Linked DNA regions of Schizosaccharomyces pombe. The protein of the gene in region 2 interacts with the protein of the main gene of each other region in a pairwise test. Each region holds a gene or a part of one and is shown on either strand. Other genes may lie near its edges. The genes, in order: SPOM_SPCC417.11C and ppk22.

The links.
Region 1: the proteins of ppk22 (region 2) and SPOM_SPCC417.11C interact in a two-hybrid assay, tested with the Schizosaccharomyces pombe proteins (one large-scale study listed by BioGRID).

What each region holds. Positions count from the first base shown.
Region 1 is NC_003421.2:1,697,093-1,701,368, forward strand, and holds SPOM_SPCC417.11C (glutamate-1-semialdehyde 2,1-aminomutase aminotransferase), read right to left. Parts: upstream 2,429-4,276; 5' UTR 2,415-2,428; coding exon 1,098-2,414; 3' UTR 569-1,097; downstream 1-568. Other genes in the region: dipeptide transmembrane transporter Dal51, read left to right, coding at 1-160; SPOM_SPCC417.12 (carboxylesterase, type B family protein), read left to right, coding at 2,590-4,209.
Region 2 is NC_003423.3:4,145,715-4,150,160, reverse strand, and holds ppk22 (serine/threonine protein kinase Ppk22), read right to left. Parts: upstream 2,710-4,446; 5' UTR 2,506-2,709; coding exon 925-2,505; 3' UTR 684-924; downstream 1-683. Other genes in the region: SPOM_SPBC14F5.01 (uncharacterized protein), read right to left, coding at 1-397; U2 snRNP-associated protein Lea1, read left to right, coding at 4,098-4,178, 4,240-4,446.

The DNA.
Region 1 (4,276 bases), on a different chromosome or scaffold from region 2:
AGCAACTTTAGTCACATTTCCTGCTCTTTACTATGTTAATTGGAGAGAAAACAAGCGTAGGGATCAATTGGCTGCGGAGGGAAAGATTGAGCATCGTCCCAATGCTGAATTTGAAGATCTTACAGATTTTGAGAATCTTGATTTCAGATACACTTTATGATTTGTACACTTTGCAGGTCATTGCTTTCTAATTATTGTATACTACTAATGAGTGTACGGAAACTACCGTAATAACTTTTCATTCGAGTTATTAAAGCAGGTTTTAGTCGTATATTCCGAAATATTTCTTTCTTAGCTGGAATACACTTTTAAGAGAAAGAAAGTTTCTGTTTTTAGGAACACTATTCCTTTTAATTATTTTGATTTTCCTTGTCCATGGTTTCTTGTTTAACTTGATGTCGTCGATTGACATATTGTGCTTGTATGTTTAGCTTTATTATTAATTTTTGTTATTATTTTCTTATTACGACTTTAATAATATACTCGTCTTACGAACGTTACTGAATACTGTAGATTTCCAAGTAGCAAAAGTCCCCGAGACTTTTTCTCGGAAACTCACAATATTTAAGATAAATTTAGCCTTCTATACATATATTAATCAACCTAAACATCAATTGTAAATATCTACGAACCAACAAAGAAAACTAGAAGAATGCAAATGTCAAATAATCAGATCATAGACAAATTGCTGTTAAGAATAACCTCAAACAAAGTTTGAGCTTCATAGCGACTTAAAAGCCTGATTTGAAAGTTTTAATAAACTATTGTCACATTTCAACATCTTCAAATAGGGCAGTATAAACTTGTCACTTTCGTCTGCTCAGTTTTAAGCTCCAATTCATTTAACTGAAATGCCTATGATGGAATATTTCTCATATAAAGTAATCATTTACATTTATTTTGTGTTGTGGAAATCCTTAACCATTCCATTTCATCATAACAAAATCAAAATTTCATATAACCTAAATAGTAGTTAGTCAACATTGCAAGAAAAATGAGTGATTCATCGCCTCAAAAAAAATTCTAAATCTCTTTTTTTTTTTTGTTTAAATTAGCAAAAAAATAGAATATAATTTGCCAATCCAATAATATAAAATTTATATTCTAATAAGAGACATCCTTCTATGAATCCATGCTTTGATTGTTAGCTTAAACGCTTCCAATTCGGATTCTGTAAGGACAAGTGAAAGTGTAATCATCCCCCGGCGAGCAATCCAAAAACCTTCCTTTAATAAATCCATCCACAAAAGATCTTTAAGTTCAATAACCTCACCAGCCGTATCATTGTAAGAATTTACGCGACCAGATTCAGTGAAATGAATGTTCATAATAGATCCTAAGCCTGTAATAGACATCTTGGTATTATGGCAATAAGACTCAATATCCTTGCGGAGCCCATCCCCTAACGCATTGAGTCTTTTTACTGCTTCGGGTGTATATAATTCAGTCAATCCAACGTATCCAGCTGTCAATGTAAGGGTGTCGTTGTTAAAAGTACCAGAATGAGATAAAGAACCTGGTAATCGAGGATCGAAACAACTCATAATATCGGCGCGTCCACCAAATGCACCAAAAGGAAGGCCACCACCCAAGTATTTGCCCAGCGTAGTCAAATCAGGCTTCAAACAATAAATTTGCTGTAAACCGCCGGGGCTAAGTCTTGAGGTCATAACCTCATCCAATATAAATACAATGTCATTTTTCTCACACTCTAGCTGAATCGTCTGCATAAATTCTTTGTCGGCTGGAATTGCACCACCCGCTCCTTGCATCGCTTCTACAATTACAGCTGCAATGTCTTGAGAAGAGTTCACCAATTCCTTAAATTGTGTGCTATTGTTGTATTCACAGAGAATGAAATCTTGACTATCCATATTGTATGGTGAAATACCATGCGCAAAGCTCAATGGACCGCCATGATAACCTCCATGCATTGCGATTACAGCCCTTTTTCCAGTGAATTTCCTAGCAGCAATTATAGCAGTGATATTGGCTTCTGTTCCAGAGTTGCAGAATCTTATTTTCTCAATGCTGAGAAAGCGACTTTTCAACGCTTCTGCGTAGTTTAGCTCGCAAGTAGTAGTTCCTCCCAACGAAATTCCAATTTCGTCGAATCCCTGCATAAGCGCTTTTTTTATCACAGGATTAGAATGGCCGTAAATACCAGCAGTTAGCTCATTAAGAAAATCCGTATACTCATGTCCATCCACATCTCGAAGTTTCGACCCATATCCAGCTTCAATGAAAATAGGGAAAGGAGCTCCATGAAGAACAGTTCTAGTGTTTCCGCCTGGCAAAGAATCACAAGCCTTGCAATGGAAATCATTGGATTTCGGATTTCTCGCAATGAATTGAGCCTCCGACTTCTCCTTGGCTAAACTGAGGTCCGATATCTCAGAAACCATATTTCTCATTATCGAGAGTCAATAAGCATGATAGTCAACAAAATGGGTATCTTATATCTTTGATCCAAATCTAAGGAACACGGTTAGTGTACCCGATCCAGAAATCGGCTGCTGTACCCGATATTTGGATCGTTAAAAGGAAGGTTTTAGGACGATAAAGATATTATTGTTGAAGAATTAGAAAATGTATGAGTCTCCAATTATCTTAGGCTCCAAGCCTTGCACACTTAATATCCCTGGAATGGGTGTGCTGCATGGATTGACTGTTTTGGATGAAAACGGTAAAGAGAAATGTCATAGATTCACCGGCATTCGTTACGCCAAACCTCCAGTGGGGAAATTGAGATGGAGAAGACCTGTTACACTTGAAGACGGTTATGACTATAGTGGGGATTACAACCAATTTAAAACTATATGCCCACAGCCTTTTTACAACAATCGCAAGAATCAGGTTCGTAATCCAGATTTTAAGTATGATGAAGACTGTTTGTTCTTAAATATTTGGGTCCCTGCTGGAGAGAAACCAGCTGAAGGTTGGCCTGTACTCTATTTTATTCATGGAGGATGGCTCCAAGTAGGAAACCCTCTACACTACAGACAGTGTGATCCACAGGATTTGCAAGCAGATGGTTCTCCAGCTAAGTTCATCTTGGTTTCACCGGGCCATAGACTTAATTTGTTTGGGTTCCTTGCTGGCAAGGAACTATTGGAAGAGGACCCTAAAAGCAGTAACTTTGGATTTTGGGATCAACGTCTGGGCTTGGAGTGGACCTACAAGCATATTGAATCGTTTGGCGGCAATAAAGAGAACATTGCAGTTGGCGGAATTAGTGCTGGATCATACAGTGCATTGTTCCAACTGATTTACGAAACCTATCATCCTGAAGCTAACCAAATCATTAAGCGCGCGTTACTCCTATCAAATGGATTGTCAGTTCAACCCAAGTCAGTAGAGGAATCTCAAATTCAATTCAACGAGTTAGCCCAAAAGTTTGGCATTCCATTGGAACTGAGCAGTGCGGAAAAGCTTGAGAAACTTCGGGCCATTCCCTTTCAAGATTTAGCAGACAATATTCTGAATCTTCGTTTGCATACATTCAGAGCTGTTACAGATGGAGATTTTGTAAACCCAAACACTTTTAAAGATATATACGACGGTACTTTTGGTAAAAGGATAAGAGATTCTGGTAGAGAGTTGATTATTGGTGAAGTAAACAACGAGCATTCCATTTATGCAAATACAAATCCACCAAAGTCCAAGGAGGATTTGTTTAACCAAGTTAACAACTATTATCCAGAGAAGGTTACCAAAGCACTCTTAGAGTTGTACCCCAAAGTCCCCGATATGGAAGATGAAAAGGAATACTTAGCAGCCATTAAGGCCCTTTTCGGAAGCATCGTCTCTGACATGCAAGTCTATGCTTCCACCAGAGTTTTAATTAATGGACTCGTTAAAGGCGGAGTTCCCTTGGAGAAAATATACAGGTATCGTATTGCTTTCAGAGGAAAGTTCTTTGATAAGTATGAACCTCCCGAGAGTCTTGTTCCCCATGCTGGAGATTTAGGTCTTTGGTTCTACAATGTTGTTGATGGTATTTTACCTGAGGAAATCCCCATTTACAAAGCATGGCTAAAATCTTATGGAGAATGGATGTCTACTGGCAAGACAGATTGGGGCACAACGAAGACCGAAGAGTATCGTTTGTTGGATGCAGATGGCACCATTAAAGTTGTGGACGATGAGAAATGGGACTGGGGTCTTAAAGTTGGCCGCACTGTTGCTGGCGTATTTGGTCTTAATTAAGTGAGCGGGTTCTCTCCAATGCTAAGATAGCATTTCAGCAACAAGGGGTCTACATTTAATGATGTGA
Region 2 (4,446 bases):
TTGTGAACGTTGACAAGTTTCTTTTACAAAGGTCCAAAAGTCGATCCACATGTTTAGTTATACAAGACTGCAATAGCCGATTTTGCTTTTTTGAAGGTAAATCTACTACTATAGGTACCAATGAATCTATGGAACTCCATTCTTCCCAATTTGCGACATGCAATACGAAACATTGTGAAATGGGCTCCGTGAAATAGATGCCCCGTAAGCAATCCGGGCCTACGAATTCGATAATTTCTCTTAATTCAGAAATTTCCAAAAAAACGCAATCGACGAGATAACTTGTTTTGAGTCCTATCATAACGGGAAGTATCCCATCTACTAGCTTTATCGCTGTTGAATGAGAAATTCCAATTAATTTCAAAAATCGAATAATGTCTTTATAACTACGCTTCATTTTCTTTAATAAAGTATCTTAAATATTTTTATCCATCATTTTGATAACTTATATCAAAAATGATAATAAAATGAGCATAAGTAAGCAAGTTTAAGAGTAGTCGAAAAATGCCGGTTGCTCCAATATCAAGAATGGACTGTCGTATTTACTATCCAAAATCACTTTTGATAATATCGATGAAAAGTATAAGTTAACATTCTTATAATATTAGTTTAATTAGGACTGAAAAGAAGCCAGAAGTCTACCCCATTTACCAAAAAAAAAAATAAAATAAAATATCCATCAAGAGATGAAGATGGTATTAGGTATTAACGTTAGTAGCTAGCTACAAGCAATATGTAACATATGGTTGCGATTTAATAAATAGCAGCACATTTTGAGATTATAAATAAATTTTGATCATTACTATCATCAATTTCAAGACAACTATTTAAATTAAAACGAAAAGGGGAAAAGGGGAACGGTGAAAACTTTTTACAGCCAAGGCAACTTCCATGGCCTCTAGGTTACACAATAGCAAAGTAAGTTTATTCATCACCAGCATGATGAAGAGTGACAGAGCTAAAACTGTCAAAAGGATTGCTCTGTTCATTAACAGGCGTAGAGGAATGCATATCAACTGCAGGTAAATTCGCAGAGATAAGGTACTGAGAGTTTAAAAAATCCTCTTCTTCATTATCATTATCAGAAGGTTCAACTGCCTCCATACCATCTTCGATTTTGGGAATAATGGGAGGCTTCATACTTCTTAACAGCGCCCATTGAATGTGTCGGAAAAAAGGATGCTGTTTAATGTCAGAGGCACCAGCGACAGAACCGCATCTTTTAGACTCATCTTTTACAAGAAGCCTGCGGATCAAGCTCTTACACGTACTCGACACGTTGGGGGCGCCATGATACTCTGGGAAGCTAACGTCAGAGTATAAAATGTTAGAGAATGTAGCATGTCTGTTTTTACCTTTGAATGGTGTAGTTCCATACAGAATTTCATATATAAAAATACCAAGGGTCCACCAGTCGACTGCAACAGTATGACCACAACTACGGATTACTTCTGGTGCAATATACTCCTCTGTTCCAACGAATGAATTAGTGCGAAAATTAGAAAAGTAGGAATTAGTGTCTAACGCGGGTTTCTCCTGTGAGAAGGTAGAATGTTTTGGAAGTACGACTGTTGGATGTGTGACAATGGAAATTGGCTTTGAAAGATCAAAGTCGGATAACATAATATGGCCAGATTGATGCAATAATATATTTTCCGGCTTCAAATCTCTGTATATAAATCCCATTAAATGAAGATATTCCAGCGCAGCCGTTACTTCTGCTGCATAAAAACAAGCATCCTTTTCAGGTAAAATATGCTTTGGAAGGGAATGCAATGCACGAAAAAACTCTCCACCTGCACAATACTCCATGCAAAGGTAAAGATAGTCCCTAGATTGGAAGGAATGATACAACGTAACAATGAACGGGTGTTTGCTCTTGGTCAAAATTTCTTGCTCTGCAAGGACTCTGTTTACCTTGTGTCTTTTAATCATCTCTCTTTTGTTTAAAATTTTCATAGCAAAGAGCCGATGGTTGCTTTTTTGGCGAACAAGATACACTTTACCCACATCACCCTGACCAAGAAGACGTATTTTTTCAAAACTATGAGGTGTGACTTCTACTCGGCTAATTTTTGTACTATTCCCAGAATAAGTTCGTTTGCCGTACTCAGTTCTTCCAAAAATGTAGTTGCCGGGGTTTTTTAAAATCTTGACCTGTGCCTTTCGAATATTGCTCATATTAATTAAAGGACGAGGAGGAGGCGCTTCTACTCCTTTGTGAGAATCAGGTGCGGAAGATACGCGTCTAAGGCTGGGACGACTATCCAATTGATCGCTACTATCATTCAGATCTAATTCATTCAATTGATTAACATTAATATCAAAGGTTGAGTCATCAGAATCATTATCCCTCTGATCATTTCGGACACTAGTAGAAACGGTTGCCGCTCGATTCCTACGAAAGTGAAACAAATTTTTCAGTTTATCTGAAAAGTGCGACTGGCTCATACCATCATCGGTGGAAGAGGGACTTTTGTCATTAAATTCAGTTTCTCGAGCCATTCTAAGTCATCCATTAATCTCGTAGCGCTTCAAACATTCACCGGTTAATAAATTTCGCTGACGGCTCACTTATAATACCTAATATAAATCAGAATGTAAGCAAACTTGAAAAACGACTTCAAAGCTCCCAAATAGTCTAATATAACTAGCCGAATGGTATTCCTCCTGCTTATATTAATTCTTGTTTCATTTGGAGGTGTCGGCAAAAGAATAGTTAGTGGAGCCACGGCCATCCTTATGTTATATAATCCTCTTTTTAAGCATATAGAAATAAACAGTCATATTGTAGCATTAACTAACAAGCAGCTTCAAAATACTTAGTTGAAGCTATTGTAAATAAAAGAAAAAACTTGTTTTTGGTTTTTATGTGTGGGTATTGATCTGTAGTTTTGTAGTAAATTCAGTTTGAATAATTCTTACTGGAACAGAATAAGTGTTAGAATAAATGCAGTGATTTTTAATTTCATATTCTCAAGAGTGACTGTATGATTTATAAGTACACGAGCTATGGAAGCACAACATTTAATCATGTATTTCTTCCACTTTCAACTACAAAAGAGGCTACTCTAAACCCAAACATTATCCGAAATGTCGATGTACATTTGTCGATATCGCTGGCATTTTCAATTAGTCCGACTCATGTGGTATTAGTATGAGGATGGATAGTTGATTCGATATTAGAAGCTGTCATATCAATTTAAATATAATTTCTTAGCAGTGCTTTCATTGAGATAGAGCAATACGATAGAAACAATCTGAAGAATTCATTAAAACTGTTACATTAAAAAACGACTTGATGTCAATATTGTTTTTGGAATGTTTTTCATTAAATGAGAAAACAAAAAGATATAGCAGTTTAGTAAGTATCTCAATGCAATTTTTTAATAGGAAAACAGGTTCCTTAAGCAACTCTGAATAATTGTAAATAACCTGGTTTCAAACTTTCGTTGGCGGTTTGTGCTCACGAAGTCAAATAGGGAGGCAGTATGAACATTATAGATGAGTTGAACTAAAACTTTGAGTGGAAAACAATGTGTGTTTCATCCAAATAGTCGATTGCTTGTGTTTGTTTTTGAGAGCTCAACAGATAAAAGAGTGTGTACCAATTTCTGACAAACTTAAGATATATATTTGACAACAATGAAAAAATGTTTTATTTAAAGGTGTCAAAACACACATATACAAAAATCATTTATTCTCTGTTTTCCCAAGAATTTTCTAGTACGAAAGCCGATTCTTGAACATGGAAGTCGTCAGTCAATTATCAAAGTATAATTACGCATAATTTGTTTTTTTTAAATCTAAAAAGTAGAAAAAGTGAGTATTTTTTGCTTATTGAGTCAAGATTTCTTTGTATTTATTTATGTGCTTACTATCCAAACTCTACCACTTTGCTTCTTCTCTTGACGTGTCATATTCTTGGTTTTTACATAATTAACTTTACATTATTAGATTCTAAAACGTTAACTATAACATTTTTTGAATAAACAATAGTGAAATTTAGGATTGTGAGCGTTTTGGATAATTTTTTAGGAATTTTAAATCATACTGCAGTAACAGCATAAAAAAGGCATTTTCATTACAAAAATTTCATGCGTCTTAATGCTGAATTTTTGTCTCAGGTACCCTCATTCATCAGTCCTTTGAAAGAAACTGAGCTTGATTTAAGATATGTTTAAAGAAATTACTGTATGCTACGTGTCATCCAGCTAACTCATAATTACAGGGTATCAGATTCCAATAATTGAAAATTTAGGAGTGTTAAGGGACGTACACGATGCAATTGATTTCACAGACAATGACATTCGATATTTAGGGAATTTCCCTCGTATGAAAAGGCTTCAAACGCTTTTGTGTGGAAATAACCGAATAACTGCTATAGCCCCAGACATAGGTAAAGTTCTTCCGAATTTAAAGACTTTATCCCTAGCACAAAATCAT